Linked DNA regions of Lepisosteus oculatus. The protein of the gene in region 3 interacts with the protein of the main gene of each other region in a biochemical or structural test. Links are inferred from orthologs where the notes say so. Each region holds a gene or a part of one and is shown on either strand. Other genes may lie near its edges.

Region 1 (7,830 bases), on a different chromosome or scaffold from region 3:
AAATCAGTCCTGGTTCAATTACTGTAGATAGGTTTGGCTGTGAGTCTTTCTTTTTCATTATTTGTATTTTATGCACACCTAATTTGGAATCAACAATTCTGTTTTTTCAAAACTGGCCTTCCTTCAACCCATCATTTTCTAACCACACCTTATCTAGTACAAGGTCACGGGGGAGCTTACTCCAAGTAAGCAATGGGGGCAAGACAGGACACACCCTAGACAGGAGGCTAGTCCATCTCATGGCACACAGAGATACAAACTTACCTGCTTGTCTTTGTGTTGTGAGAGAAAACCCGGCAGAAATGGGGACAACATACTGTACTAACTCCATGAAGATAGTGCCCCAGGAACTGAAGCCAGCGCCAGAGCATTGCAAGGCAGCAGTACTGCCCAAAACTGGACTTTTCTAGAGTAATTTATGTAATTTATTTACCACTTCAGAGACAATTAGAAATCAACAGAATATAGTAATTTAATATATATGTGACTTTTTTCATTTTAAAATTAGACTTCTTAGTTTACTTCTGCTTAAATATTCAACTACAATTGAGGGGTTATTACCTGACTTGCAAGATGGCTGATTTTACGAGCATGTTCCACCTCCCTGGACTTCACATCCCAGTGAAAAACTGACTTATACTTCTCTCCTTCTTCTCGGTATTTGAGCTAAAGAAAATTTACCATTTCATTTATCACATCAGCAGTTACAGGAAGTATCAAAGTTTTGAAAAGATATCAAAAGAATTGGTAATTTATAGCAAAGTTCAATTGGATTGATAATTTTAAGGCATATCGAGTAACAGACCAAAATATAAACTTTTCTAACTTAAACAGTTTTCTGAATCTATACTGAACATTGAGGACTTCTAGGGTGATCCAAGTAATGAATGTTTACTGTTCCAGACATCTGTGGAGCTTCATTTATTTTTCAATGCAATAACCTATTGACAATTTTTTAATTTACACTGAACTGTGGACAAAGCATCTTCCACGGCACTACTGACCTTTTTATACTTTTAATACACTACATAAAACTGAATCATTCCTTTACAATTTTAGAAAACCCTAAAACAAATGAGCTCTCACCTGCGAACTGTGAATGAGTGCAGTGTATGAAATGTAAACATATGTACCAGAGGAAGTGTAAATACTGCACCCTCAAAAACAGATCCATTCTAAGGGGATATTTGATATCCTGTCCTTTTGCATGCTGACTGTCACAATCACATTTTATTAACGGCCTAGGAATTCATACACACACTGTATAGGACTTTCCCCAAACCTGGTCTGATTGTAGTTCAGGAACAGAAGGTATAAAAACATCCTGTTCCAGAAAGGTATACAGCAGATTTGGCAATTGAATCCTCTCATTATTTTTTTAAGATCACTTTGAGCATATACAATTTCTTTTATTAGGAATTTGTCTTTTCACATAACCCAGCTTGCTCTCCATGAGACACACAGACAGGGAGAGAAGCTTGGGGTCAGCCATTTACAGTATACGTCGCCCCTGGAGCAGTTGGGTTTAAGGGCCTTGATCAGGGGCCCAACGGAGTAGGATTTCTCTGCCGGATGCAGGATACGAACCGGCAACCGTCCAGCCACAGGTGCAGATACTTAGCCACAGAGCCACTGCTTTAGTGTGCTTTTGGTATACAGTACAGTACCAATTTGACTGATTTTACTGTCAAAGAAGTGTCTCTAAAAACAACGATTGTATAGAAGTTAGCACACACTCGATAGTGTAGACTGAAAGCAGGGCTGTGATTGAGAGGAACAGGAGGTGTCTGGAGAAAGCAGGAGGTGAGCAGCTTACCCTGGATATAATTTTAACTGGTAAACTCATAAACTGGGAGGGAGAGTGAGGTGTCATGTCGCAGTCATGACACAAAAATAGAATAAATAGGAACACAACTCATTCCAGACCTGAAGTCTCATAGAACATAGGACTCATCCTGAACTTCATATGAACTATGAAAGCTTGTACACAAAGAATACCTATTTTAATAATTTTCATGATCTATTTTTAGTACTTTACTATGCCATCTTACTTTGCATTATATTATCTTGTTGTGTACTGTAATTGGCTCCTAATTTTACTGTATTACTACATTCTACCAGTTTTAATTAATATAACATCATCAGCACAACTCTTGAAGCTATTTTTAGGCTAGCCACTCACCTACAGTACATTTGGAAACAGTGACATTCTCGACATCCTGTTTTTTTTAAATGCCTGTATTGAAATTCTGACTGCACCTTTGAAGTATCGGACAAATACATCTTTTTATCTGCTTATAGAACATTCCTGATAAAGGTTAAATCATAACTGTGGAGAAAATTACCCATAGCACCTTCTTTTATTTTTGTTTTCAATATCACTCACCTCACTGACTGCTTCAGATTGCTTCTTTGCATTTAAGTTGATGGGTGTCTCATATACACTAGTGAAATTGTTGTTCTTGGGGTTGTGCCTGTAGACATCATCAGATTTTACAGATGTACAGATGAATTTACACATATACAGATGAAATAGTCATATACTACTGGTGACACATATACTTTAAACATGGAGTTATTTAGTAATGAGCTATGATTGTTCTGAAGGAGATACTGTGTTATTTTGTATAAAATAAGTATATGCATGGAAGATACACAACGATAACATTGCCATAGTCATTCACAATGTTAAAACATTACTATTATTGCTAATAGATATCTACATGTCAAGATAAAAGAATATAAGGGGATTTTGTAATTGTCCGTTTTACTGTCTATTGAGGAAATAATACAAAAGCTTTGCTTTTTTCAAAATCAGCATACAGTAACATACATTTCAATAAAAGTAGTAATAATGCAAATAAATACACACATGCTTTAAGTACTCACACTTGGCAGTAGGGCTTTTTCTGATGGCTCACAAAATTATTTGTAGTTAGGATCATCTTACATATTTCGCAGTGAAAGCAGGCTTTATGCCAGGTCTATATAAGTCAAACAGGAAAGCAAAGCAAAATTTTCAGTACTCTAGATGGCATTGAACTTATCAGCAGCACTCTAATTTTTATTTTGAAAATATTACATACTTTTTTAAGATTGGATGTTGGTAAGTATTAAACTATATATTGGATCCAGTACTCACTTGTGTTTATGGCTTTCAGTATACATCCCAACACAACTTATAACAACCTTGCAAACATCAGAAGATGGCTACTGAATAGTTAGAGCAATAGTGGAAGGGAACGCATTCTGTAATTTGGCTGATGACAGATCCACAATACATTTACACAATGGTGCTATAAATTCCTGTTCTGTTCTTGTTAATTTAATTCAATATTTCTTGTGTTTGAACATTTTACTTCCCTCACAAGTCACAAGGGTTCGTTCACAAGTATCAAAACTGTACTGGAATTGATTCGTTATAAAAATCACTCTACAGTCACTATATATCCTTTGTCATATGAATATTAACCATATGAAATATAACCTTACCTTGTCAATGCAATTGATTTTCTCAGCTGGGTAAACAATATAGCCACACCTGGCACAAGGCTGGACATTCATGTTGAAAAAATATTGTATAAATAATTTTAAAAAATAAAATGAGTAGTGTACAGAAGTAGCAGGGAAACTCCGTGGACGCTTGTGTTATACTTAGCTCTCTAGAATGTGACAGACTGTCCCTTACTTTAATGTATCTAAGGTCCTCCCACTTCAGTTGGGACGACTGCTCACTGGCTGAGATGGCTAGGTGACCAGAGATGTAATATGTTGTTTTTGTACTGAATTGAGTCAGGAGGTAATTTTGGTGCCTGACCCAGATTGTCTCCCTCCTAAAATACATGAATGAACTCAGTAATAAGCTATGTTATAACAATATGCACATTACAAATATGACTTCTATGCACCTGATGCTGCAATAACTAAACTAGGTGTAACATATGTCAAGTTGTCTTTGTCTGGCTGACACTGAATTTTTTGTTCTTAAAGTCTTCAAAACCTTTGCTTTAAGCAAGTAGAAGCATTGCAATTTTGTACACTTCACCACATTTTCTTCTCACTGTTTCATTAAATGTTTAAAGTTTTTCTAAGCTTTTTGTTTCAGAGTTAATTGTTTTCACCATTTTGTGAACAGAATTCAGGAAATTCAGAAAACAGGAACAAATCTAATCGCCTTGTGTAGACTTTTTGGATGAATTTTGATAGTCCTTATCTGCGGAAACTTTTACACCAGAGAATAAACCCTCATACTATTGTCCTATGAGTCAGACTTTGAACTGGCATGTACAGTACTTAATCTATTTTTTAACAAATAACCTAAGAATGACAGTTGTATTATATTGAAAGGCCACATGGCTTTAATTTCATAAAGCAATTTTGAGACAGCCATTGTACCTCAGTATCTGCTGTAAGTCTGTCTTTTCAGTCACACCCCAAAACAATTGTTTTCTGTTCCTTTCTGAAATTAGTGTTAAGTGTGGTAGGCAAAGGTGAAATCCACTGAACATACTGTATACAGTATAATCAAATTGATGCACATTGCCTTTCAGCTACCGTATGAACCCCTTTTTAAATAGTCCTAATGTATAATAATTATCATGTTAGACTACCTATTTATTTTAGCTTACTGATCCAAACACTGAAAACAGAATGACTGAAAACATGCTAATAATTATACATTTCTTACACCATCTTTATGGTTGATGTTTTACATGAATGGTGCATGAACGTTTGAGTTAAATTCTCACGTCTTTCGTAATAGAAGGCAGGACCTTTAAATAAACCCGCTTCCTTATTGGGAAGCTGGTCGAAACTAAAAAATACTTTCATTACTTCCTGTTTGTTTCGTTGTAACTGCTCTATCAGTTAACTTACGCGAAAACGAAAGAGAAAACGCTCAATATAGACTGGAAGATTAAAGAACTGCAAAGAAAAAAGCAGCTGCAAAATTTAGAAAAAGTAAGTATGACAAACTACCATTTTGATTTTTTTTAAATCAAGTAACATTTTTACGTAGCTCTGCTCTTGTAGATTCATCTTAAAATGCTTTATTTTATAATACTAATGTTAACTAGACGAGACGAAAATCAGTGTGTCATTATGAATGAACATTAAAGACACGTGTAAGATATCACAATTAAAACATCTCAAATGTTTTCTTTTCTCCCACGAAGTAAACCTACAAAGTGTGTTTCGAAGTTGCTGTAGCATTTTAACAGATAGTTTGATCAGGACCGAAAATTCTGTTGTAAGTTAATTAAGATAAGAATAGGGATTGGGAAAAAATAGGGCCTTTATAACTTTAGTGTGAATAGCCCTTCTTTTAAGTACATTGAAGTACTAACATTTCTACATGTATGTAAATAATAACCAACTTCTTCAATTGTAAACACCTTAATGTTACATTACTGCCGCTTGTATTTAAGAAGCTACTGTCAATTTATACACCTGAACATTATGCTGAGCTAGACGTTGTCTTTGTACACGATTATATAGTATAATTAAAAGTTATTTCAAATAATTAAAGTGGAATACTAAATCTCATTTAGTATTATAGAACCATTATTGAGAGCATATATAGAGCAAATGAGATTGGAAAGGGAAACATTAAATTTTTTAAGCTGAAAAATCTATTTTCTATAACTGTTTGGTTAGGCAATACATCTGTCCATCCTAGAGGCAAATTGCAACGCATTGACTGCTGTGTAGAGGGAGTCCATCATTCATTCTGAATGTTTGAGGATAAAGCTCATCTCTCTTTCTGTAGGACCCATATCTGTTTCAAACTGCACTGATTCACATTTGTCTATTGCTTCTTCTGCTGGCTCTTCTCAATGTGGAGGATAAATTCGCTTCTGTCTCCTTTGACTGTGACGCTGTCTCAGCAAGGAAGCCCATCAGCTTGGCTACCAAACCTCCTTTTGTGCATTGCCCTATGTTCTTGATCATAGGGGAGGATGGGGACTTAGATAATCCTGCAGATCTTTATCGGCAGAGTTCCTGCTTCACCATCACAAACTGGGATTGTGCCCTCAACAATGCTGACAATGCATCCATCTGTCAGTCCTCACTGCCACTTGTTATTACGAAGTAGCAAGCCCCCTAGGTACCTGAACTCCTTCGCTAAGGACAGCTTCTTGCCTCTCACAAGAAAAGAGCAATCTCCTTTTTAATGGGAGAGGATGATGACCTCCAACTTTGAGATGCTGATCTGAGCTGCTTCACGCTCAGCAGTGAAATGTTCAGTCTTGTGTCGGAGATCACAGTCAGATAAGGCAAAGACAATATCTTCTGCAAACAGTGATGCTGCCTCCAAGCCTCTAGACTGGATACTTTTCATAGCGTGTCTGTGCCTTAATGTCCATTCATGCTTGGACATTAAGGCACAGACACTCATGGTTGGTTCCCATGTCCTCTTTGAACACGCATGTCTAGAAGGGGAACTGCAATCTCAATTTCTCAGACCAGTTATGAAATCTCAATAACAAAATGAATTGACAGTATCACAAAAAATGTCAAATTTTGGATTAAGAACAATATAGTGAACTTTGTTAAAGTACTGGATAGTCGCCATGTTGTTGCAAACCACTGGGCTCACCACGGACGAGAGCAAGAGTTTGCGAGAATTATTATGTAAAATCTGCCCTTCCTGCTCACTAGTCACTGACGAATGTAATGCGATGTATAAGCATATAAGTATAGGTTGAGCAGAAGACATTTCACTACAGAAAAGTTCTGTGATCTACTTACTTGTTAACACAGCATGCAGTTGATATGACGGAAATATGGTGCTGCGAATACCTCGAAATGTTGTTAATTTTGTGATTTTAATTAGAGGTTTTACATGTTACTGTGTACATTTTACTTTCAATGTGGTCTAAAATCCACTCATCAGTGCTGATTCTTTATCACACTGAAATAAAATAGTGTTGCAGTTTCCCTTTAATACAGAGAATACAGTTACAGCTCTTATTTGGAGAAAAGCAGGCCTGGGTAACAAGCAGAAGTGGCACTGTCACCTCATGCTCGCACAGCATCTACAACAAGCCATCTTGAGGAATGCTGCCATATACAGTATGAACAAGCTACATCTTAACAAGGATAGACCAGATTCCCATGTTCCGTGGCCAGGATGGGATCTGTATTGTTCGTTGTGAATTTGAGGTTTAACTAATGGATGGACTCTCCTTTCCTGCAGATATGCTTTGCACATGTTCAGTCCAAAGTGTGTACTGAACATATCTTCTGTTAGCTTAATTTCTTTAGAAATACAATACTGGCATCGTTATTTTTTATTAAGATCATAGGCTCAGTTTGCACACGGTTTCATTTTAGTTATGTGCCTGTTTATACGTTCCACTTAAATTTTTATGCAAGATGTTTCTTGCCACACAGATGGCAGACAAATCTGTTGTTCCTGAGGTAGAAGAGAGCATGGAGCCTTCAGGTGATGCAACGGATGCCAAACCAGACCGAAAAGGAAGATTTTTTCTATTTGGAAAGTAAGTGTTAAAAATCCTGTTTTAGGTGGGATGGCTTCCTAAAAGTGTGCATTTGCAGTTGTTTTCCTATCATAGCCCACATTGGGGCGGAGGGGTGGCTCTGTGGCTAAGGATCTGCCCCTGTGGCTGGAAGGTTGCCGGTTCATACAGTATCCCGCAGTATCCCGCAGCCGGCAGAGGAATCCTACTCCGTTGGGCTCCTGAGCAAGGCCCTTAACCCCAACTGCTTCAGGGGCGCCATACAATGGCAGACCCTGCGCTCTGACCCCAGGCTCTCTCCCTGTCTGTGTGTCTCATGGAGAGCAAGCTGGGGTATGCGAAAAGACAA
Region 2 (7,494 bases), about 55 Mb from region 3:
AAATCAGACTGAACCTTTTATTGTTTTCTACTTTAAAGTCATTTTCATATATTTCATATATGTAAGCAGACTTCTGAAAGAACTAGTTTATTCTTTTAGCTTGGCCAGTAGCTACACCATTGTGAAACCTGACATCACATTTTGAATGACACTGGGATTAGAGTTGCCTACAAACTATTTTGTACGCTTTTCAAAAACTTTACAAACAAAACATATCCTTTCACTCTGTGACACACAAAATCTTGTGGCACACTTAAAAAGAATGGTCAGAAATCCCTAATGATTTCTGACTGAACAGCCAGGATTAAAGCCGATTCCCTGGGAACTTTCAAGAAAGCAGCCGAAGGAGATCCTTGGATCAGTAAGCTACTAGAAACCACTGCCTGACTGGGACTGAATGGGATAAATGACTTCCTCTCATTTGTAACCCAACTGGATGCAAGTGTCTTTGATTTCACCAAAGAATTACGAAGAGCAGTACCGAACATTGCTGACGAGGGAGGCGAGAAATATTTGTTCTTCGTGAGACAGGTGCTTCTGAGGCCTGGGGACAAATGTGTTGTCCTCCGCTACACTGAAGGCAACGTTCTTCCCAGCTTTGGAAGATTTGTACAGGCGGAAATTTCTGTTCTTTGTGTACACTCCTAACAGGGAAGGAGGACAGCAATAGATGAGTAACTCTTCAAAGTGAGGGGTATGCAATTCATAAGGCAGTCACAGTCTGTAAACTGATAGATACTTCAGAGCGCCGCGTGTAAGACCCAGAAAAAGCCGTCGGTGTTTGCAAACGGAAGCCGAACAATGTTATTCATACCGACATCAACAAAGAGCTGATCCTGTCCATCTCTGTCTTTCACGAAGAGAAACAGCAGGCCCCCAGCCTGAGGAGATGGGGAGGTTGGACCCTCCCCGGTTCTCTGTCTCTTGGGATATGGATTCCTCAGCCTCTCAGCCTCCGGTTCCTGCCCAGGTCCAAAAGACGGAAGAGGGGATTGGCTGCTTGCAGGCTGTCCATTGCTCTCCAGGTGGGTTTCTGTCACCAGACGGTGTCTTCTCCTTCTCAGCTCCTCCAGCGCTGGCTTTAACACCTTGTGGACAAAATGGCCTTCAAGTGGAAAATGAGACCAGTAAGAACGTAATATCACACCGAGAAACGTCACACTGCTTTATAATTCAAAAACTAAAAAAAAAAAAAAAAAGGAGTTAAGTGATCTAAAGACCTAATGAGACAGGCAGACACACGACACCAGAGAATTAGCAGAATAATGGTGTAAGCTGGGCTTGTCTTGTTTTTTTAGAAGTTCACACAGCGCTACAATTCTTTACAGGTGTGACCCAAAACTTGAGGCGATTTTGCATTACATTTTCACAGAATTATAAGCCAAGTTAACAGGGTATTTGGTCATTAATTATCTGAGGCTGCAATACAAACAAATCACCAGAAATTATCTAAATACATACCAACGTGTATATTGTCTTTAAAAGCTGCATTCGGAACAAGGAATATTAGATGTCGACTGAACTTTTCTTCTGTGCTGGAATCCAAATTCAGAACATCATCCCTGGAGATTTTAATTCCATATTCCTCTTCCAATTTCAGACATACATACTAGGACACAAGATAAACCACAGATCAGTTTAAAATCAGTGCAAAGAAGGTCTTGTCTGGGACATGCTCACATCCAGGGTCCGGGAGCCCGCAGCCAAAGCCCTGGGGTGTCTTCTCTTGCCACTGCTGCTGCAGCTTCCCGCAAGGACTTCATCTCAATGGGGCTTTTTGACTTCACAAACATGCATGAAAATCAGGCACTCCTCATAGCTGCCAGAGTACCGTGGGCATCTTATTACCCTGTCTTCCTGTCTTTCCACACCATTTGCATACACTACAGCCCTAGTGAAGTGACTCTGCACAGCTCAGCGCAAGGGTTTCAGACCCTTCTCTCCTCGGTTAGAAACATAAGAGGATAATGAAACGCTGTAACTTTCGCTCACACACTCTGAATTAAGAAACCTTTTGTGAACTGGACCTGTAATACGTCTGTGCTGCTCCTACGCCGTGAAGACCGCTGGCTCCATACCTGAATAAAAAACGCCACCATCTGTTTTCCATCCCGACCTTCGTTCGAGGGCCTGTGGAACTCCAAATCGAAGTACAGCTTGCACACTGCACCTTCGGGGATGACCTCATAGCAGTGCATTAGAGACCGCCTGTAAGTCCTGGGGTGAAAACCAAAACACGCTGTGCTGGCAGCAGACCAATTTGTGCAAACAGCTCTGAGTGTGTAATGTGACATGAAAGCTTTTGAACAATAAGTTGTAGTCCCTTGAATTTATTTGCTATATATTCACACACTAGATACAGTACATGAAATAAAAGTAGGCCGCTTCACAAAATATTAGAACTTCGATCTACTGTATGTGGCTAACAAAGACTGCTCTTGAAAACAGTGTAGAGAATTTTTTTTACCAGCATCATGACTGTTTTAAGGGAATAATAATTAGGCATCTTTGTTTTTTCGGGACTTGATCATATTGCCCTCAAAGTTGTATTCATATCTGAGCAAGGTCCAGATCGTCACAGGTGTACAATTAGGCGTCTGGTTATACGACTACTTCTCCGCCATCAGTGAAACAAAGAGCGCAGGACACCAGCGGGAAGTACGCGGAAGGACATCCAGAACTCGGAGAAGGAGCCGCCAGTTTACACAGAGGGATGGGGCAGTCGGCAACACGCCAGCCCGTCGCGCTGATGAAGTCGCCACCCTGGCTTCATTCCCCGCCGTGCCTGGAGCAGTTATCCCACAGCAGCTACGCGGGCTCCCCAGACCGGACGCCCCCCCCCTCTCCCGTCACGGGACTCACCTGTAGTAGTGCCAGAGCTCGGCATACGTGGTCACCAGGTAGATCCTCTGCCCGGCCTCGGTGGGGCCGTTCTCCAGCGCGAACACGTGGACACCCTTCGGGGGGCAGAAGCACACGGAAGCTTCACGCCCTGTTTCACAGCAGATCGCGCTCCGACTCCCCCCCCCAGACGAAACGGCCCCGCCGACCCCGGCCCCTCACCTCCGCGCGGCTCTTGGCGAAAGCGAAGGCCAGGCCCTGGCGGGGGAAAACCCGCCACAGAGTAGACGGCTGCCAGGGCCTGGACAGCCTGGGCTTGTACGGCGAGGACAGGGGCCAGTGCTGGTACCACTCGGCCCGGCACGCCACCCTCCTCACCCTTTCGCCCCACTCCTGCCTGATCATCCCTCACCAGCAGGGCGGCGCCGGGGAGACACCCTGGAGAGCGGCCGAGAACAGGAGACGATCAGCTCCCGCGCAGCACATCAACCTGGGTGATAAACTCCTCCATCTGCCCTCTTCCCCAGGTCATGGGGATCCCCTCCACCCCCAGCAGTGTGCAGCCCCACCTGGATGAGGCGCCAGTCCGCTCCCCACACCCCAGCTCTCAGTGGGGAGGAGAGCAGAGTGAGGGAGCCAGTTCAGAGAGGGAGGTTATTAGGAGGCCATGAGGAGTAAACGCCAATGGGAAATTTGACAAGGACGCCGGGTAACTAATACTGGTCATAGAAATATTTTTTTTTCCCCACAGGGAGGAGAAAAAAAATGAATGATTTCCACCACTCCCATAGTATATAAACACAAACACTTCACAGATAGTTACACTGACCTGGATTAACAGCACAGGTCACCTTGACCTGGAAGAAAACGGCAAGACAGATGAAACGCAGGCGTGCCTCCTTTTACGTTTTGAAGATGTTTTGAAGATGGACGACAGCTCACAGTTAGGCTGGGTCGCACTGTAAACTCCTGTCCGCCTATTGAGCTCTGAAGAGGCATTATTTAAAAAACGGAAGCCTTACAATTCTTGCTTGAAGAATAAATAATGTCCAATTAAGCAATTCAAACAAGTTGGCTAAATACACTGTCAAATGCAAAGGGACCGATACAAGAATATAAAACACCCCGAAAAGACGACACCCGACTTTAAGGTTTATCTAGACCTCATCATAAGAAGATATCAAGCGTCTGACGATCATTTTTCCTTTACATTTATATCAATTATATCATTTTATATATAAATATTAGGTCTCCTCGTCACGTCTCGTATGTGCGTTCACAGAAAGGTATAGTAAATACACACATACTGTACTTACCGAGGGCCCAAGTTTTTTTTTTAATTTCGGCTATTATTATTAATAATAATAATAACACACTGCAAACTCTCTCTGGGTAACAAATTAACCCACAGACGCTGCCTGCAATGTTTGTGTCTCCTTTTCCTTAAAGTTGCCGCCCTTTTGCACAGTTTCCGTTTCGTGGCCCGGCGGCTGGGAGATGTAGTTTTTTTTTTTAATTCGTTTTTATATGTCGGTTTTTTTAAAAAATTTTACGTAAAAAAAAACGCGAAGGGTGGAGCTCAATACCACCACATCGTGGCTCTTAAAACTACACAAAAGAAACAAAAACTCGACGGTGCTTGTAGGGCGGTCCTTCTCCTTTGCGGTCTTTTGTTGTTGTATGTGTGTGTGTGTTAGTTTCACGGCCCGTTTCAAAAAGCGGGGAGGTGTTGTGAGCCATATAAAAAAAAAAACAGATATTCAAACTGCGACCCAACCTTTGAAACGGGGAAAAAAAAAGAAAGTGAACCCGCAGAAGATTTAAGTTTTTGACAAGAGCAGTGTGGAGCAGAGAGCCGCAAACGTAAGTCTTTCTTTATTTTGCTTATTACTAGCTGGAAATTGTGGTTCGTATTTTTATTATTTGTTTTTATTATTATTATTAACAACCACCCCGTGTCAGTTTAAGTTATATTCATTCCCTCGTCGTCCCGAGTTTTGATGTAAAACCATATGCACTTGTGATACAAGTTTCTTTCGTTACCGGAAAAAAAAAAGGTCTTCGGAAAAGTGATCGATTATTTTGTTTCATACCAAAACACGAGTTCGAGTCGCCTGGATGTGGACGGTGAAAATATTCAACTGTTGTTTACAAACTTGTCAAGATATAGACGGAGTCTCTGCCATGAAGCTGTTATTATATCGGCAGACTTGGGCTTGAAATTGCACAGGTATTTCATGTCGAGAATGAGCTGCTAACAGCTGGTATTGACTTGTTTGGTCAGTGTCATTCAGTGGACGTTTGGTCTTTCCTAACCGGAGCATTTAAAGGGTATTTCGGTCCTTTTTTTAAAAAAAAAAAATCTCCCTCACGTTCAAGATTGCAATATTTGATTTGTATTAAAGAATATACAGACCACAGACAAACAGCCGGACGCCTCTTGCTTTAATTGCACATCTGTCAAAACGAGAAAAAAATAAACTGGCTTACCAAGTAGAAAGATAAAGCCGTGATTTTGAATTATTTGACGTTTCCACTGTGTTTTGATGTGGCTGTTTTAAAGCACTTGATTCACTCGTGGGTGGGTACAATGTTTCCTGTAAGTTTTAGGTTTTCCTCGAACATATCGCTCACTTCCTGAACTTGTTTTTTTTTAAATAATAATTCCTCCATCGAAGGGGATATCTTGCTCGTGTTCAAAAACACTGTGTTCATCAGGGGACAAACTTTGGAAATAAAAAGAATTCTTCAGATTTGCAAGTAACGTTTTGTTCTGGCAGGATGTTTAAACTTGAAGTGAGCTTTTAGAGGAGTCAGTGTTTGAATAGGAAGATGACTGTTTTGCACTACCTTGCTGCTGACTAAGCTATGCCACGGCTGGTGTGTCAAGTAGGTTTTAATTCCAGCACAGCTTTTCACAGAGAAAATATCAGTATATTATTAGAATGATTTGGCTAGATCGGATCAATCAATCAAGCTGATCAGAGTTCTTCAGGTGCTTCTACACATACTATATAAACCCTCCCGAGTCCAGGCTGGACATCCCTGCTGTAGGCACTCAAATTTCAATGAGTCACGGTGCGATGTAATTCTACCTCAAGGGCAATACCTACCTCTGCCTATTAAACTAATGTCTAATGCTTTTGCTTAATTGTCAAGATGCCCAAATAATTCAAACAAAAGCAAACATAAACGAATAAATGTGCATCCTTCTGTTGAATTCTAAGAATTGTCTTCAAAATCCTTTCCTGGTGGAAATGTACGTTTTCCTTCTTGTCCCACACAAATATAAAAATTCCCTTGGATTTTAACATCTTTTTTTAGAAAAGCAGGATTTGACATCACAAAGTTGTAATTATATTATTTCTTTTTCGTTTAACTTTGAGTCTAATTTTTTTTTCTCTGGGTTTTTTTTTAAAGTTTTGAGGGAAATACCAATTTGTTGTCATGTGTGAAATGACGAGGCCATGGAAAACGTTTGTGTGTGCCCCGGTTCCTCATGAATTTCTGTTGGAACCCCTCTGGGACATTACAGTATCATCCTTCCTTAATTGTGATATTTTGCTGGAAAACGGGGCTTCTTTTCCCCCAGCTCAACCCGACCATGAACAGGCCCAGTAATGTGTGACAGTAAACCAGGCCATAATGCCTACATTGCATCTAGCATTATACTGTACAGTTAAGGAACAAGTAATAGGTTTATTCCATGCTGAAAAGAGAAGAAAGAAAACACAACGTTTCAGCTGTGGAGCCCTCTCTTGGTGTGAGCCTTCTTCCTTACACCTGAAGAAGGCTCCACGGCCGAAACGTTGTGTTCTCTTTCTTCTTTTTTTTCAGCATGGAATAAACCTATTACTTGTTCCTTTGCAGCCTACGCATGCTGACGCAGCTGCCCACCTGAACTACTATACAGTTATACTGTTCATAAATTCATCCTTTTTTGTCTTAAAGCCAAAACAGTTAGGATCCCTGCAGTAGTACACAAACTAATGGGGGGGGTGATATTTCTTCGTATTTCATCAGGCTGTGTAAATTTTTAAAACTCCTGGAGGGTGGGTGGAGGGGGTTCTTTTGTCCGCCGGCCGGCGTGTGTGAGGTCATCGCCTCGCGGGCTCGAGGGAGTTACGGGCTCCAGCCTGCTCTTGACAGGCGATGACGTCATCGAGCCCGGCCCTTGGCAGCGCGGGCTGCTATTGGCCGAGCAGGCGGTTAGCAACACAGAGCAGGCAGGCAGGCAGGCAGGCAGGCAGGCAGGCAGGCAGGCAGGCAGGCAGGCGTATGTGTATGTGTATGTGTATGTGTATGTGTATGCATGCATGCGTGTGTGTGTCTGTACAGTATGTATGTGTGTCTGTGTGTGAGCTGCCACTGGCGAAACCAGTGACTGAGCGGAGCCCCAGGTGAGCTTTGTGGTCCGCTTGTTTCCCTCGGTCTAGGGACGATGTCTGAGGCGACGGAACCCGTTCGAGGCGCCGGAGGAGATGCTGTGGACGCCAAGCCGGCCAGTGCCCCCCAGTAAGACTTTCTTCCGTCCAGTCTGCAAAGCCGTTGCGCTGCGTGAAACACCGGGTGCCCTTTGAACAGTACTGTCACGACTCTTGTCACGTGTGAAGAGACCCTTATACGCGAGTTATTTATGTAGTTCGGTGTTCT
Region 3 (7,540 bases):
AGTCTCCCTTGGCTTCTGGGATGCTAGCGATGGCCAGACCTTTGTTCTTCCAAGTCCTGCTGAAGCCAGGCCTCCTGCGCTGAGAAGCAGCTCTGACAGCTGCCCGCCCAGGGTTTTGTTCGCTAACGTCGCTGTTATTCTGGTCTTTCCCCCCAGGAGCTGACGATGTAAGAGTCCCGAGAGAGAGCGAGAGGAGGCGACAGGCTGCGATGGATCGAGATCTTGCTGTTCGATTACTGAATGGCATTTGTACAATTTTTACCAGGGAGTTTAATAAAGTTATGAACTTGAGGTGGAACCATTCTTTTTTTGCCCTGATTTTTTCTGGTTTCAGGGTTATTTTTCTATAACTGGTATTCTAGAGTGCTGGTATTTATTGGCAATAAAGTGTTTTCCATTGCTCTAAAGTGCCCGGAAGTAGGTTTTCTCCTTTCTTACAAGTTAAAAAGGTGGAATATAGAAACCATCTCTAGAAACATGAAATTTGTTTCCCAAAATCCAGTTTGCAGCCACTTTTTAGCCACAGATGCCTTCGAGAGACAAAGGTGGAGTGAAAAACAGCTGCCTGCCGTCTCCTCTGAAGGACGGAGCTCAAGGATGATCGCAAACTTGTTGGGGAGCTGGGAGGAGTCCCACAGCAGAGCGCAGGAGGCTTGAACTGCCTCTTGGTCGAATCCAAACCAGCCCCCTGCAGCTCCATGAGGTGGCCCCCCCGACGACACCACAATAAAAACCGCCGCATAAGTTAATTTGTGCTGCTGAAAGGAGCATGTGTGCTGCTTTCGTTGCCGAGATACAACGCCTTCTTTTCTACGGTGTGCGGTCATTCAGCCCCTACAACAGTGCAGGAGAGCTGAAACAATCCTTTTAGGGCCGCGTTTGTGCTGCTGAAAGTAACTTTCCTGCTGTTTTCATTCTGTGTAAGCACGCGACTGTCCACATAAGGAAGTGTACAGCTGGTAGCACTGTAATAGATCATGTAGTTTTAGGATATCAACACCTGCAGTTTGCTATCTCTCATTCTGTCTGGGGTGGGTGTATATTTCACGTTTGAATAACGGTAGTCTCTGAGCATTTGTGTGATGAGTAAGAGTTTAGGGAGAGATGTAATATTAAAATAAGTCTTGCCGTTTTATTCTTAAAATGAGAACGATTGTGTTTTCTTAAAGCTTTAGCTACGTATTTGAGGTTAGGAAGTGCAACTTACTGTATTAAAATGACCATCATTGTACTATTTTATAATGAGCAAACAATTAAACATGGAAACAGAGCAGGAAACTGCATTATACAGTATGTTTTGTTGAGAGCACTATGTACACGGTTGACCTTGGTAGTTCATAACCAATCTGCAAAACAAGGTTAGTATCATGGATACAGACTTCAGTAATGTTTGAAAATATTTTAACAAATTTTGAAGAGAATATCTCCCCAAGTTGCTCGCCAGCTTTTCTTTGGTTTCACCTCTGCAAAATCAAATGGCTCCCTAGTGACTTGAAGCTAAAGTTAATGTCCTGCTTGTTTGGTCAGTCTGCACTTCCTGTTGCATGACTTGGGTAACCATGTGTGGTTACCCTAGAGCTCGCCCGGCCACGCTGTGTTCTTCAAGGGGTGACACCCAGGCACTGATGGCTGCAATCCAGCTCCAGGGATCAGCCAGAGCGTCATGGCTTCACTGTGCCCTACACCAGCTACTCACAGGGTAGCCTTCCATCTTCAGTGTTTCAGCAGCCCTGAACATCACACCCACACAACTCTTGTTGGCCACACCCATTTATCCAGCCACGCCTCCATCCAAAGACTAATACTCCTGTTCTGAGCCAGTGACCTGCTCAGCCATAGGTGCCACACCTGGAAAACTGCACATTGTTTTCAATAAAAGGGTAGTTACTCTGTCATTCCCTGTAATAGGTGAATCTAAAGAATCGGCTATTGCTTTCTCCTCTGCTCAAAGTGCAGCAGCAGCATAAATAGCCTCATCCTTGCTGTTGCTGCCTGGATGTTATCACACCTCCGCCTTGCCAAGCAAGTTCTCAGAGTCTTGGCTTCAGACGGGAAAGCTCAAGCCCCGGTGCTGTCAGGCAGGGGAAGCTGAATAGGCCATTACTGGAGCAGAGTCTTCAGGTTCCAAGCTGCCAGCCTGCACTGCTTTCACAAATATCATGAGTGTGAATGTGGATGGCATGGTGGCACCGTGGGTAGCAATACTGCCTTACTGCGCAGCGCGCAGCGGCCCTGAGTTCGGCTTTGGACCGGGGGTGCTGTCTGTCTGGTCTGGTTTCCTCCCACAGTCCGAGTACAGGCTGGTGGGTTCATTAGCGTCTGTGAAAACTGACCCGGCTGTGAGTGTGTGAATGTGTCTGTGTGCCCTGTGATGGACTGGTGTCCCATCCAGGGTGTATCCCACCTCGTGCCTGTTGCTTGCCGGGATGAGCTCCGTCTCTGCCGTGAGGAAAGCGGAAGATTGATAGATGGATGAACGTGCTTCCTCGGAAGTGCAAAATCAGAGAGGGGATCTTTTTACTTGGATGCAGTTTTGAAGAATGTCGGGTGAGCACCGGCCGTCGGGAAACCTCTTGCAAATGACATTGCAGGAGTCTGCTCTCCTGCGGTTCTGGGTTTTCTGTTGGGCAGACACAGGCGAAAGGCTCTCCACTGTGCCATCCATCTCCAAATCCTTCGTTTTTAAATAAGGCTCAAGATTCGAATTTCATTTGCCCTATACAACAAGTGTAGTGGAATGCTTACTCGTTCAGCTGCACCCAGTAACAATAGAGAGAAAAAAAATATCCGCACAAATGACAAACAGACATGGACAATAAATTTTGACAATAGACATTATAATACAGCCAAGACAGGACATAGTGCAAACAGTGCAGTGCCTTAAAGTGAAGGTGCTAATGTGTGCAGGTGCTAATTTGAGCTGTTTAAGATGTGTCCTATTTAAAATATGCATACGTGTATAAAATGCATGGCGTTTCAATTTTAGAATATTTAAAATATGCATATAAACTTAGTTACTTATGAATCAGGCTTAGAAAATCACAATTGCATTTTTGTTTGAAAATCATGTTTTAAGAACCTGGCAGAAGACAGTGCGAGTCTCACGGCCTAGACTGATACAAGAAGGTGAGTAATTGATGTTGTCCTGGTGTCCGGGTCAAATTTCCCCCCTCGGCCCTTACCGTGGCCTCCAAATTTTCCCCATGTACGATTGGCTTGCACTTGCCCTGCGATGGACTGCGATGGACTGCCGTCCTGTCCAGGGCGTACCCTGCCTTGCGCTCGTTGCTTGCCGGGTAGGCTCCGGCTTCCCGCGACACCGTTTGGTATAAAGCGGGTTGGCAAACGACATGACTAAATCCTACAGACGTTTCCACAGGTAGTCCACTAGGCGGCGATGTTGACCTGTTTTTCCGGACTACAGAATCGCCGTGTAGCCGTTGGCGTGATTGATTATATGATCGCTCTTCCTTTCTACGAGGTAGAACAATTTGACCTCATTTGACAGTTTTTGGAAACTGATCACCGTTGAAAAGAAAATCTCTTTCGACCGCTGTATGTTCTAGGCTAATATGAGTCTACAGAAGTGGGTTACGAAAACAAACATATAGATTATTTTACATCAAAAAGGATGTTGCTGCTTTTGAACTCGTTTTGAGACGTAAGGAAATGCGCCGCATCGACAGCGCAAATATTTTACAGATATACAAATATGTTGAACAGAGAAGTCACCAGGGGGACCTGCTTCAAGCATTCAAACTCTTTAAAGGCTCTGACAGAGTCAACCCAGCGACCTTCCTCAGAATCAACAGTGCAACTCAAACCAGAGGACACAAGTCCTGCTAAAACCGAGAGCAGAAGGCTCGTCTCTGTGCGAAGAGTGGTGGGAGCGTGGAGCAAGCTAAGCAGCCATGTTGCTGAAGCCAATTCCCTGGCTTCTTCCAAGACAGGACTGGGTGAGAATCCCAGATTAATTGCATGCTAATAACCAAACGGTAAACGTTCTTTATGGTCAAATATTAAAATATATATTAAAACCGACCTTTTTTCTAGGGACTGTGTATGATTGCCCTGTAGTTTATAGTGTATGCTATTGTTTTTTTTTCTTTTACCCTTTATTGTATTTTAATTAGTTTTTTTCATCACTATATACAGCGCCCTTTGGTTTGGAAAGGCTCTTTATTTAAACAGTTATTATTATTATTATTATTATTATTATTATTATTATTATTATTATTATTATTATTATACGCTTTATAGTCTTTGGTAAGTTAAAAACTACAGTTCCCAGAAAACCCAGCTCTAAACAACAGTCGCCATGGTAATACAAATTAAAACGAGATATTTGGTATGAGATATTCACCATCTCTTAATTGAGTAACACGTTTTGGATGCGAATCGGAACCAAACTGGCGATCCCAGGACAGGGAATGTTTTAGATGAACTTTGCCCTCTCCGTTTCCATGGTGCCCAGGCGGCCAGGGGCGGGAGACCGCACGAGACGAGATGGGCCGGTGGAAGCTCTAGAAACGTCTAGGCGCGCGGCTGCTGCGTCATTGCGCGAGAACGAGGAGGAGAGACACGCGAGGAGAAGGGAGATCAGCTCGGAGCTTCGGCGGGTTTTTATTTTTAATCGCTCGTTTTTTTACTTCGTTCAGAGTAAATACACCTTTCTGTCAGATAACGAGAAACAAACAGCAGAGCAGCACTCCGGAGAGTAGGAAACATCTGAATAAGATAACCAAGATGTAAGTCGATGGGGGTTGGAATGGACTGAGGGGAGAAAGGGGCGAATCACTTACGGCGGTTTTTATTTTTTTAATTCTTTTCAGGGGTGCCTAGAAAAATTTGGACCAGAGTAAGGTTCCCTGTTCCACACACACACACTCACGTTACCCAGTCGTCTCTCAGGGGCAGCGGGCAAGGCAGAGAGCAGGCGAGCGCGGTATAGGCCGCGCTTCACGTTGAGCGCCGGGGTGTCTCTCGGGCGCTTGAAAACGTAGCTTTTGAAAAGGTGCGACTGGTCGTGTGCCCGCCTGCAACCTATTTAGGGGGCGTGGAGGTTGTGTGAAAGGGTATTTTGGAGAAATACTGGGCTCATTTGTTCGATATTGTCCGGATCTGTAGCAGGTAGCGGGAGGCTCGACCTCCGCGCTGTAGGAGCATGTCTGCTCGCTGGGGAGAAAGGAGAGGGGGGAATACAGACACGCTCAGCGGGACGGGATGCAAACGGAGGTGGTCGCTAACAGCTTCTTTTGGAGGACGTATTCTGCATTTATTTAATTATGCTTGTGGCTTGATGGCTCGGGGGCCGTGCATTTCCTATCAAATTAAGGTTTTTCTTGCGCTGGGGTAGCAACGCAACGAACTGCACCCGCCCCTCGTGTGGCTGGGGGTGAGATACTTTTAGGTCAGCTCCGATGTTGGGGTAATCGCGCTGTAATCGCCCCAGATCATCAGGGTAGATCTTTCTGGGGGGGTATATGCCTCCCAAGTCCCGCAACGTGCCGTGGTGTTTTTACACGAAAGTGAAAGTGCCGCGATGCACGCCGGGGATAATGAATGAGAAGATGTCTGCCTGCCGAGCGGGGTTTTGTGTGCCGATATTTATTTTCCGTTGCGATTTCATAGAATGAAATCTCTGCTAGTCTCATTGTTTGCGTCTGTGTGCTCTGAATATTTGGTTGTATTTACATTAAACGTACTTGTTCGATTGTGTAGTAATTTACCAGTTGCGCCTGAATGGCTTAAAAAAAATAAAGATAAAACAGGACGGTTTCGACCTTGAGAACCGCTAAAAAATAGCCTGGCGTGAACATGGTTGTGCTGATGGAGTACCCAGCAGCTGGGACTGAAGTCTTCGGGCTGCACAGTCAGTTCATGGCCACCGCCTGACAAATGCGTCTCGCTTGTTGATGGCGGCCCGGTCCGGCCCGGTCCACGTCGTCTGCCTTGGGGGGAGGGGGGGGGGGTCACATGACGAGCCGGGGTGTGCGCTGCCCGGCCCCTTTGAACCCGAGCTCAGGGGTAATAGCAGGTAAATATGAGCTGTGGGTGAGGTGAGCGTCCGTCGCCTGTAACTACAGAACTACAGCTTGCCATGATGACCTGCTGTTGCTCCTGTGCTGCAGCCCATCCGTGACACAGCTCTTCTCCCAGCTCACTCGAGGCCGCACCAGCCCTCCACGGGGGCGTCGTCCAGACATGGGCACGGTGGGCTGGCCGCTATCAAAAGTCAGGAAAACTTTTAAGTGGCATAGGAGACGTCCAAGCAGGGAGCTGCGGCAGCAGGCATAGGCTGCAAAGGAACAGGTAAAGGTTTATTACAGGCTGAGAGGAGAAGGAAAGATACGCGGTGGTTCCCGGCTGAGCACCCGAAGAAGGCTCCACAGCTGAAACGTTGTCTCTTTTCTTTTCCTTTCAGCATAGAATAAACTTTACCTGTTCCTTGAAGTAGTGTAGTGTTTTTGCTGGTATTCAATACTTTGATTGTAAGTTCACTTGAGCAGGTAGTGGGTGAGTGCGTTTGCCTGACTGTGGAAGTTGGTAGGCTGTTTTTAGGCTACCTGTTGTTGGGTTAAGAAGGTGCGATGTCCTGCAGTGAACTCCCCGGGGAAAGAGCGGAGCTCCTTCCCGGAGGAGAGGAGTCCTTGGAAACGTTGGAAGAGGTGGTTCCGGTGTGCTGTCGAAAGTCTTGCAGAGCTTGAAGAAGTGTGGCCACATAGTAATGAGCACGGAAGGGGGTCGAGGAGAAGTGAACTGGGTGGAGTTCTGGTGTTTTATCCAGCCGTGTGTTTTCAGCCTGCACTGGATTTGCACATCTGGGCTGTGGCTTCTTGAAAGCTTTTCTGTCGGATTAACTTTACATTGAGCTCTAATTTTGAAAGCCCTGGTTCCTGGTTCACAATTGAATATCACTCACGCACTCTGATCTTGCAAAGGTAAACCTATCTGCCTTCAGAGCATCCATTTTCTAACTGCTTTGTCCAATTCAGGGAGCTGGATCCTGTTCTGGCAAGTAATGGGCACAAGGCAGAGTACTGCCTAGATGGGATACCAATCCGTCACACACACTCACACCAGGGTCAGTTTTCCCAGAAGCCAATTAACCTACCACACAGGGAGCACCCTAGTTTCAGAAGTGAACGCATGCCCCCAGGGTTGTGAGGTTGTGAGGCAGGAGTGCAAACCACCGTGCTGCCCCATTACAGAGCGGTTTGAGCCATTTCAGTTTTCACTTGCTGTAAGGTGGTTGTGCGTAAGCTGGGATCTGGAACAGCACATCGACTTGAAACCCTGCTTTGCAAATGTTTTGCTTACACATGGTGTGTGAAGTCATTTTCTTTTATAACCTCTGCTGTTGTGTTCAAGCCCACCAGCTGCTAGAGTGTAAGCAGTGTTGTCTTCTCCCGTTGCTTTATGCCACTCGTGGATGAGTGCAAACCACTAATTACGTGGCCTCCTGCCTGTCAGAATGAACTCCTCAATCCTCTGCCCCACACACGCATCCACACACGTGGTTGGCCATAATTCTAGCTGC
Region 4 (7,473 bases), on a different chromosome or scaffold from region 3:
ATCTCCTCTTCCTCTGCACACTTAAAACAGCTTTAGAATTCAGAAAAGCCAGAAAAAAAATATTTTAATAAAATAGAACCTATTTAATAGAGACCAAGCATAAAGCACCTTTTAATGTCGAATGGAATACGACAAGTACAAATTTCACATTCTTTCTTCAGGCAATGAAATATTTATCCTACTTGCTGTATCCTTTGTGTATTGGAGGAGCTGTTTACTCTTTGATCTATGTGAAATATAAAAGGTAAGGGGATGCATCTTAATTTTTTTGTAATTCCATAATTTATTTTTGATATTTTTAATCTTATGGTTTTTATTTTGTTTTTACAGTTGGTACTCATGGCTGATCAACAGTCTTGTCAATGGTAAGTTCTGTTCAGCATCATGCCTAAGTCAGTCACTGTGATTAATTAAGGTATTTAACATTTATACTACTTTTCTTTGTATTTTGGCAGGGGTTTATGCATTTGGATTCCTGTTCATGCTACCTCAACTTTTTGTAAATTATAAGGTTAGTATTTACAAAAACCCTTTAGTATTCCATTTATAAGCAGTACGTTTTCCTTGCTGAAAAATTACAGACCTAGATTGGGACGAAACACTGAAAACAAGAAAGACTTATGTGTGTCTCATTCGTTTTCGCTGTGTAACGTTAAGTGTATTTAAGCAAGATGTTAGTAGTTTCATTTGTGTTTCATTAGTCTTGCTTTCAGTTGAATTTCACTTTGCATACCTTGAGGTGTCCTCCTGCTGGAATTTGTCATTTTTATTTCTTCTGCTTAAACATCTTTTTACATAAATGTGAGAAAGTTCCAAAAATGTGCTTAATTCCAATTTAAAAGGAATTGTGATAAAAACTTTGGTTTGTGACTTTAAAGTCTATGTTTAACTTTCTTTCTGTTTTCAGTTAAAATCGGTGGCACATTTGCCATGGAAGGCATTCATGTACAAAGTGAGTTAATTTTATAGCTGGTAGAATTTTAAAACTGTTTTTGATGATAAATATTCTCTTAAGAATCTTGGTAGTTGGTTAAGAATCTTATTTTCACATGAACACTTAAGTTATCTGTAAAAGGTAAAAATGAGTAAAAGTTAGAAGTTATAAAGGTGTTTATTTTCAGTTTTTAAAAGAAAATCTTGTAAATGCTCCCCACAAAGTTGAAATTTTGAATTGTTATTTGCGTTATTTTACTGTTATAACTATCATACTAACATGGGAGGGATGAGGACTGTGCTGTTTCTTCTGAAATGTCATGTTGATGAAGGTCAGATTGTGCCTACAGGACAGTTAGCATCAGTCGAAGGAGTGACGTAGTTCTCACTGACAATACTGCAATTACTGTTACTGAACGGCAAGCACAGGTCCAGAAAATTGTAATGGCGTTCAATAAAGAAATCCAAACACTAAACTGATAGAAGGGATCAGTTTAATGGCAATGAAAATGGGAAAGAGAATGTGCTCAGTCTTCTGCTGATGGTAATTACAGGACACCTCCTACCTTTCTGTTTTTCCAGGCATTCAACACCTTCATTGACGATGTGTTTGCTTTCATTATTACCATGCCAACATCCCACCGGCTTGCCTGCTTCAGAGACGATGTGGTATTCCTTATCTATCTTTATCAAAGATGGTAAGCTATCCAGAAAGTGTTCACTAAGATATTTTAGTTTTTAGTTCTTAAAATGAAATGTAAAGGTTTAGCATTTTGTGACCTTACAAAAACAATTCATAGTTACATTAAAACTGTTTTAATCTAGGTATTAAACAGTACACCATGTGTTGATTACCCTTTAACAGTCACACATTGAATTATAGTTTAGAGAAATTGGTTACGATTATTTTTTCAAAAATGAATGTAAAAATGTCCTGAATATATACAAACCACCTGGTTGAGGAGACAGATAAATGTTTTCTCGAGATACTGTCCTGATGGAGAATGCAGTAACAGAATATGTTGTTGTGTACCTTTTACATTATTTATTTATGTTATATATTTATTTATGTTATTTATTTTTGTTTTTTGCAGGCTTTACCCTGTGGATAAAAGTCGAATCAATGAATACGGTGTCTCTTATGATGAAAAACCTAAAGGAAAGCCACATAAAGACTAAACATTCTCTGAAAATTGGGTTGAACTCCCTGGCCTTGATGCCTCACATGTATATGCAATGGTAGAACGTGTTTCTAAATCAAAGTGCAGGTTAACTACTGCAGTGTTGCTGACATTTCCAGTAATGTGCCTGTTGGGAAGGATGGGGCTGCATCCCATAATGCACGTGTTTCTCTAACTAGTGGCCTACCTGTAACTCAAGAGATGCTATCGATAGCCAAAGCCTATAGAGAAGCATGAAGTTAATCCTGCCTGCTCATCTCCCCCTAGCATGAGGTGCATTAGGCAAGCTTCTATAGACCTTTCAGGGATATTAAATTCACTCGATCTGGAAAATCATAAAGGTTAATATACAGCAGCAGGTATTGCACAAAAAAGAAACATATTCTACTCATTCTTTACCTTTTCACTTCACATAGTATTTGAAATTAATTGGTGCCAAAACCTTCGTAAAGAATATTTTTGTTTGGGTGGGAAAAATTAAAGGTCAAATTGCTACCCAATTGAAATGCTTCAGGAATAAATACTTTATTTTCCATTATTTTATTGTGTACAAAACAGGAAAACTGTTTCAAGACCAAAAAAAAAACCACAACAATTGCTACTTATTTATGTCAGTAAAACAATCAAGGCAACATGTTTGTTTACCATTCTGGACATGAAGTTAGATGGAGATGCATTTTAACATTTAACAGTGTTTCAGATCTCTGTTCTAGAATATTGTATTTTGGAAGGCTGGTAAGGGAACAATGTTTTTTTCTTTTGGGTAGCAATTGTTTATCTTTATAGGATCTTTTTTCATTTTTCATTTTAAATTGATCTTAATAATACATTTTTTAAGTTCTCACCATTACCAATAGTTAATTACCACAATGTTGTAACAGTACTTATTTCACCATGTGGGCTACTATTAAAAAAGATCCAATGACGTGAATGATAATTGATGTCTGATCATGTCTGGGAACAGATTGTGCTGCACTGGACCTGACTTGAATAATTTCAAGATGTATCTATGATTCATATCAATTTTTTGCTTGTCATTTTTTCTCTATTGTCCTTTTCATTAAAAAAATGAAATTTGCTTTAAATATGGCAGGGGGTTGTTTTTAATTTATCATGTTTTACAGTGTTTTGGAATTGCTATTGAACTGCATCTTCAGTAATATTGCTGAGTACAAGTTCCCAACTCCCACAATCTTATGAATAAAAACATCCCTCTTCTTTTTAGTCTTATTTGGAAATTTTAAAGGCTTCCTATTCGTTTCCACTAGTGTCTTGTGTTTTCTGTTTCATTATTTATCTTAAATAGGTTCATGGTTGGACTCACTAAAAGATTGAATTCATTTAAGGTTAGCTTAGAACATGAATCTGAAACACAGTTCTTGGAGGGCCTAGTGTCCTTTTGTTCCAACTTGAGCGATAAATTACAAATAACATCTATTTTCATTGCTATAGATGGAATATTTAAGGTCTTTTACAGCAGGTTTTACAGTAGTAATTTTGTTAAAGGTACAGTTACTTCACAAACACATTAAAGCCTTTTATAAGTATTACTAAGTATTACAATTTGTAGATACTGTAAATAAACCAACTATGAAACACCTCAGGTGGAACCATAACTAGAAAGCACCAGGCCTTCCAGTCTGAGTCTCAAATCCCTGGGTTAGGACATTAAACTAAGGAATATCGTTCGGCCACAGTGAATTCAGATGTATAGTATACACGGTAAATTAAAATTAAAGCAAGAATTTTTTTCAAATACTTGTAGTATTGACAGGAAAACAGCACAGAAATCACTCAAACGTGAAATTAACAGATAAAAATAAACTTTTTAAGCACCAAAGCATTTTTTCAAGTTCTTACTGTATGTCTTATTGGTGAACTCTTTCCATAAATGATTATTGTACATGAGTACCGCAGTTTTATAAATCAAAAAGACGTTATTGTCCATAATCACTGAATTCTAGGGATGACTATTAATTTTGAATGTCAATTATCAGAAGAGCTGAATAAAAAGGTGCATTTTTTATGTCAATGCATTCGTCTGAATTGTTTTTAATGCACAAGATTTCTATTTACACATTCGGGTGCATCATTATTAAGCATAAATTCTACAGTGTAGCAGCAATTTCCCCAAACTGCTGTTCCATATATTCGGAATCAGGTGAGTATACAATAAAATCAGAACGAAATCTATTTAATCGGTCTACCAAAACGTGCGCCGCTTTTGTAAGTGGTTATACGGCAGATGTCAATGTCGGTGTCTGCAGGCCGGTTCCTATGTTGACCAATTACAAGTGACTATAGAATTGCGAGGGGAAAAGATCCTGTTTTGATTGGGTTGAAAAAGAAGACAGGTATTTCTGAACTGCGGCCTCCGGAGAAGTTAGAGATTTCGGAAGGAGCAGCTTGACCAGATTTGAAGAAGCGGTGATGGATTAAGTGGATCGGTAGAGAGCAGCTGTCGATTGCAGTGTTTTGGTGCGTGGTACTACGATGTCTAGGGAGAATATCAAGCTTTTTGACCCAGTGTTGCGTATCCTAAGATCTGTGTATTCATCTGTGCTGACATTGGAGGAATACATCGCCGGCATTCGTTTCAAAGAGGACAACAGACAGCCTCTGGTGTTAAGCACTGACAGCGCGAAATACAAAAAATTCATTACAAGCATCATTGTTTGCACTTCCGCCGACAGCAAGGCTTTGGCACAGCCCACCAGTTATGAACAGGTATTGATTGAATGAATTCTTGCGTATCCTTCAAATAAGCAGCTGCTCAATTAATGGCTTTAAGTAACTATGTACGGTATGTAAGAATTTGTTACCTTATTTAGTAGTATTTTATACATATATATAGCATGCAAAGGCTGTGCAATAAATACATGATGAGAGAAAACTACATGTACGTTTAAAAAAGGAAAATCACGTTTCAAACCTGTATTTGAATTTCTAAAAATGCACACAAAAAAGACTAGTGTTATTACTGGTCCTGCACTCATTGTGGATTAATTTCGAGAATTAGAAAAGAAATCAACAATCAGGTACAGCAGGTTAGTTCTCCATAGCATTATAATAAATGTATTATTTGAAGTGTCGGAGTCCTTGGGTTTAAATGGCACGAAGATTATTTCAGTTCTGTGTTACAAAATTAACCTCACACGATAAATCATTAAGATGTGTTATCATAATATCGTTTTCTTACCAATATTGATACAATGAAACACTATTCTGGAGGGCTCAAAACAGTGTCAGTGGAAGTGCTTTTAAAGGCTTTGGAAAACAAGCGTATACTTGTGTAGGAAGGCTAGAGTCGAAACCATTTTTAATTAGTATATTATTATATATAAAATAATCGATAGCAATTGTTTAATTTTTCTGCATTTTATTTTTCCAATCCTTTTATCAGCTTTGTACACTGAAAGAACTGGTCTCCATCATTCTGAAGAAGATCATGCAGAAGAAAAAAAGAAATGTTCTGGCACATGGACTGAAGGGCGTCGGTGAAAACTGTGCTTCCGTTTTTTCTCAACAAAGTAACCACTGCACCTCTGCTATCAGCAGCGGTCCGCTGTGGGATCTCCTACTCCAAAGGATTGGAACTGCTGTTATGATGCATCTCTTGGAGTCGTGTGCTCTCTTCACAACAGTAGCCCCTTCTTGTCTTTACCAGGTTGCTGGGATCCCTGTATACGATCACTTCATCACTGGGGATAATTACTCCTCATTTAAATGTGTGAGGCTTAGGTCACTGCACAACCGATTTAATGTGCTCTTGCAGCTGGCAAAATCTAAAGTAAATTTCTATAGAAACCGTAGGAAGTCGCAGAAGAGGATGAGGAAACACCAGAAAAAGCGAGGTGCCCCAGGTCCCCGCCAAAACATCAGCAAAACTGACAGTGAGGGGCCTCCAACCAAGAAGGCCAAGAAAGAGCCAGGGTGCAATACTATAGAGGAGAGAAAGCAAAAGGCAAAAAAAGCCCCTGTTTCAGCTGTATTTTTCAAGGCCCAAAGCATGTTGTATTCAAGCTTCAAGTCTTCTGTCCTGAGCAAACAACCGAAAGTACAGTCCAGGGCTGATCCTGTGAAGCAGATAAACTCTAATGCAGAAGATCTTGTGAAGGACATATTTTTATGCAGAAAGGGATTTGATGGCAGGAAAAAAATCCCCAAGCGTTTCAAAAGCATGCTTGGCACATTTAGCCAGTTGCTTAAAAATCATAGAAAATGTCCATTTCACCTTTTCTTAGAAAGGACTTGCTCAGAAGAACCCACAGGTCAAAACACAGTGGCAAAGGCAACTGGAAGTTTGGACTCAAAAGAGCCCAGTGATTTCCAAGGTCTTCTTTCAAAAGAAACCAAACCCACACAGGTTTATATGTTCATAAGGGAGTGCTTAAAATACATTATTCCATTTCAGCTGTGGGGTTCACAACACAATTTCAATAGATTTTTAATAAACGTTAAAAAATTAATTTCCATGGGGAAGTTTGACAGACTGTCTCTTCAGGAAGTCCTTTGGAAGATGAGAGTGCAGGACTGTGACTGGCTTAAGCTAAATAAATCTGGTAAGAAACTTTACAGTTTTCATGGCAACATTTTCTTTACTAAAATCTCCAAAAGAAATGTTAAAATGTTACTCTGGCAGTTTTATTTGTCCATTAGTATTATAGTAAAAAGAGCTACCATATAAGACTTAGGCAATACAAATACAAAAAAGTAATACTGTTGCTAATGACTGTAGTTATGAGTGAGAACCTAAAGGTATTTAACATTTTGATTAGTTCAGCACTTGTGTTACTGGAAGACTAATATGCAACTGTAATGTATGCTGAGCCTTAAAAAACATATCACTATTTACGTTCTTAGGAAACTAAAGTATTCTAATTTTGGATATCGATTAAATGTTTTTGTTGTCATTTTGATGAATTGATCCGTCATGACTGACAGCAAAACACTTGAGTGAATTTTAACATCAATGAATAACAATAACCTTCCTGCCTTAGCTCCCTGTCCTGCGACTGAGCACCGATACCGTGAGAAGATCCTGGCAAGTTTTTTAACTTGGGTTTTGGGCACCTTGGTTATTGTGCTAGTAAGGACATCGTTCTATGTCACTGAAAGCTCCTGGCAAAAAAATATGCTTATGTTCTTTAAAAAGAAGATCTGGAGAAGACTGTGGGACATGGCTATAAGGTACAGTTTTTTTTTTTTCCATTATCACAGATATTGCTTGGCTTACTGCTTTCATTTCAGATGCTCTTTAATGTGAAAGATTTATGGATATGATGATTTATTCAAATCCAGAAAATGCAAAAGCCGTATACTGTTTTCAGTTATTTGGAGTTGCGGAAATTGACAGAAT

What was found.
Region 1: of the proteins of prostaglandin E synthase 3 (region 3) and casp7, one has a biochemical effect on the other in vitro, tested with the Homo sapiens proteins (2 studies listed by BioGRID and IntAct). The link is inferred for Lepisosteus oculatus from reciprocal best matches to the Homo sapiens genes PTGES3 and CASP7.
Region 2: of the proteins of prostaglandin E synthase 3 (region 3) and caspase-3-like, one has a biochemical effect on the other in vitro, tested with the Homo sapiens proteins (2 studies listed by BioGRID and IntAct). The link is inferred for Lepisosteus oculatus from reciprocal best matches to the Homo sapiens genes PTGES3 and CASP3.
Region 4: the proteins of prostaglandin E synthase 3 (region 3) and tert form a complex in vitro, tested with the Homo sapiens proteins (2 studies listed by BioGRID). The link is inferred for Lepisosteus oculatus from reciprocal best matches to the Homo sapiens genes PTGES3 and TERT.

What each region holds. Positions count from the first base shown.
Region 1 is NC_090699.1:38,479,816-38,487,645, reverse strand, and holds the start of casp7 (caspase-7), read left to right. Parts: upstream 1-4,812; 5' UTR 4,813-4,959; intron 4,960-7,395; coding exon 7,396-7,502; intron 7,503-7,830. Other genes in the region: nrap (nebulin-related-anchoring protein), read right to left, coding at 562-666, 2,387-2,474, 2,890-2,984, 3,493-3,564. UniProt on the Homo sapiens protein: Thiol protease involved in different programmed cell death processes, such as apoptosis, pyroptosis or granzyme-mediated programmed cell death, by proteolytically cleaving target proteins.
Region 2 is NC_090696.1:75,474,800-75,482,293, reverse strand, and holds the start of caspase-3-like, read left to right. Parts: upstream 1-4,489; 5' UTR 4,490-4,704; intron 4,705-5,331; exon of another isoform or gene 5,332-5,613; intron 5,614-7,277; 5' UTR 7,278-7,282; coding exon 7,283-7,356; intron 7,357-7,494. Other genes in the region: primpol (DNA-directed primase/polymerase protein), read right to left, coding at 482-644, 815-1,105, 1,462-1,609, 2,028-2,217, 2,863-2,957, 3,064-3,246. UniProt on the Homo sapiens protein: Thiol protease that acts as a major effector caspase involved in the execution phase of apoptosis. Following cleavage and activation by initiator caspases (CASP8, CASP9 and/or CASP10), mediates execution of apoptosis by catalyzing cleavage of many proteins.
Region 3 is NC_090696.1:20,892,880-20,900,419, reverse strand, and holds the start of prostaglandin E synthase 3, read left to right. Parts: upstream 1-4,521; 5' UTR 4,522-4,746; coding exon 4,747-4,748; intron 4,749-7,540. Other genes in the region: naca (nascent polypeptide-associated complex subunit alpha), read left to right, coding at 157-171. UniProt on the Homo sapiens protein: Cytosolic prostaglandin synthase that catalyzes the oxidoreduction of prostaglandin endoperoxide H2 (PGH2) to prostaglandin E2 (PGE2).
Region 4 is NC_090705.1:36,252,402-36,259,874, reverse strand, and holds the start of tert (telomerase reverse transcriptase), read left to right. Parts: upstream 1-4,459; 5' UTR 4,460-4,607; coding exon 4,608-4,841; intron 4,842-5,517; coding exon 5,518-6,676; intron 6,677-7,114; coding exon 7,115-7,304; intron 7,305-7,473. Other genes in the region: lipid scramblase CLPTM1L, read left to right, coding at 162-244, 331-365, 456-511, 908-952, 1,516-1,631, 2,028-2,112. UniProt on the Homo sapiens protein: Telomerase is a ribonucleoprotein enzyme essential for the replication of chromosome termini in most eukaryotes. Active in progenitor and cancer cells. Inactive, or very low activity, in normal somatic cells.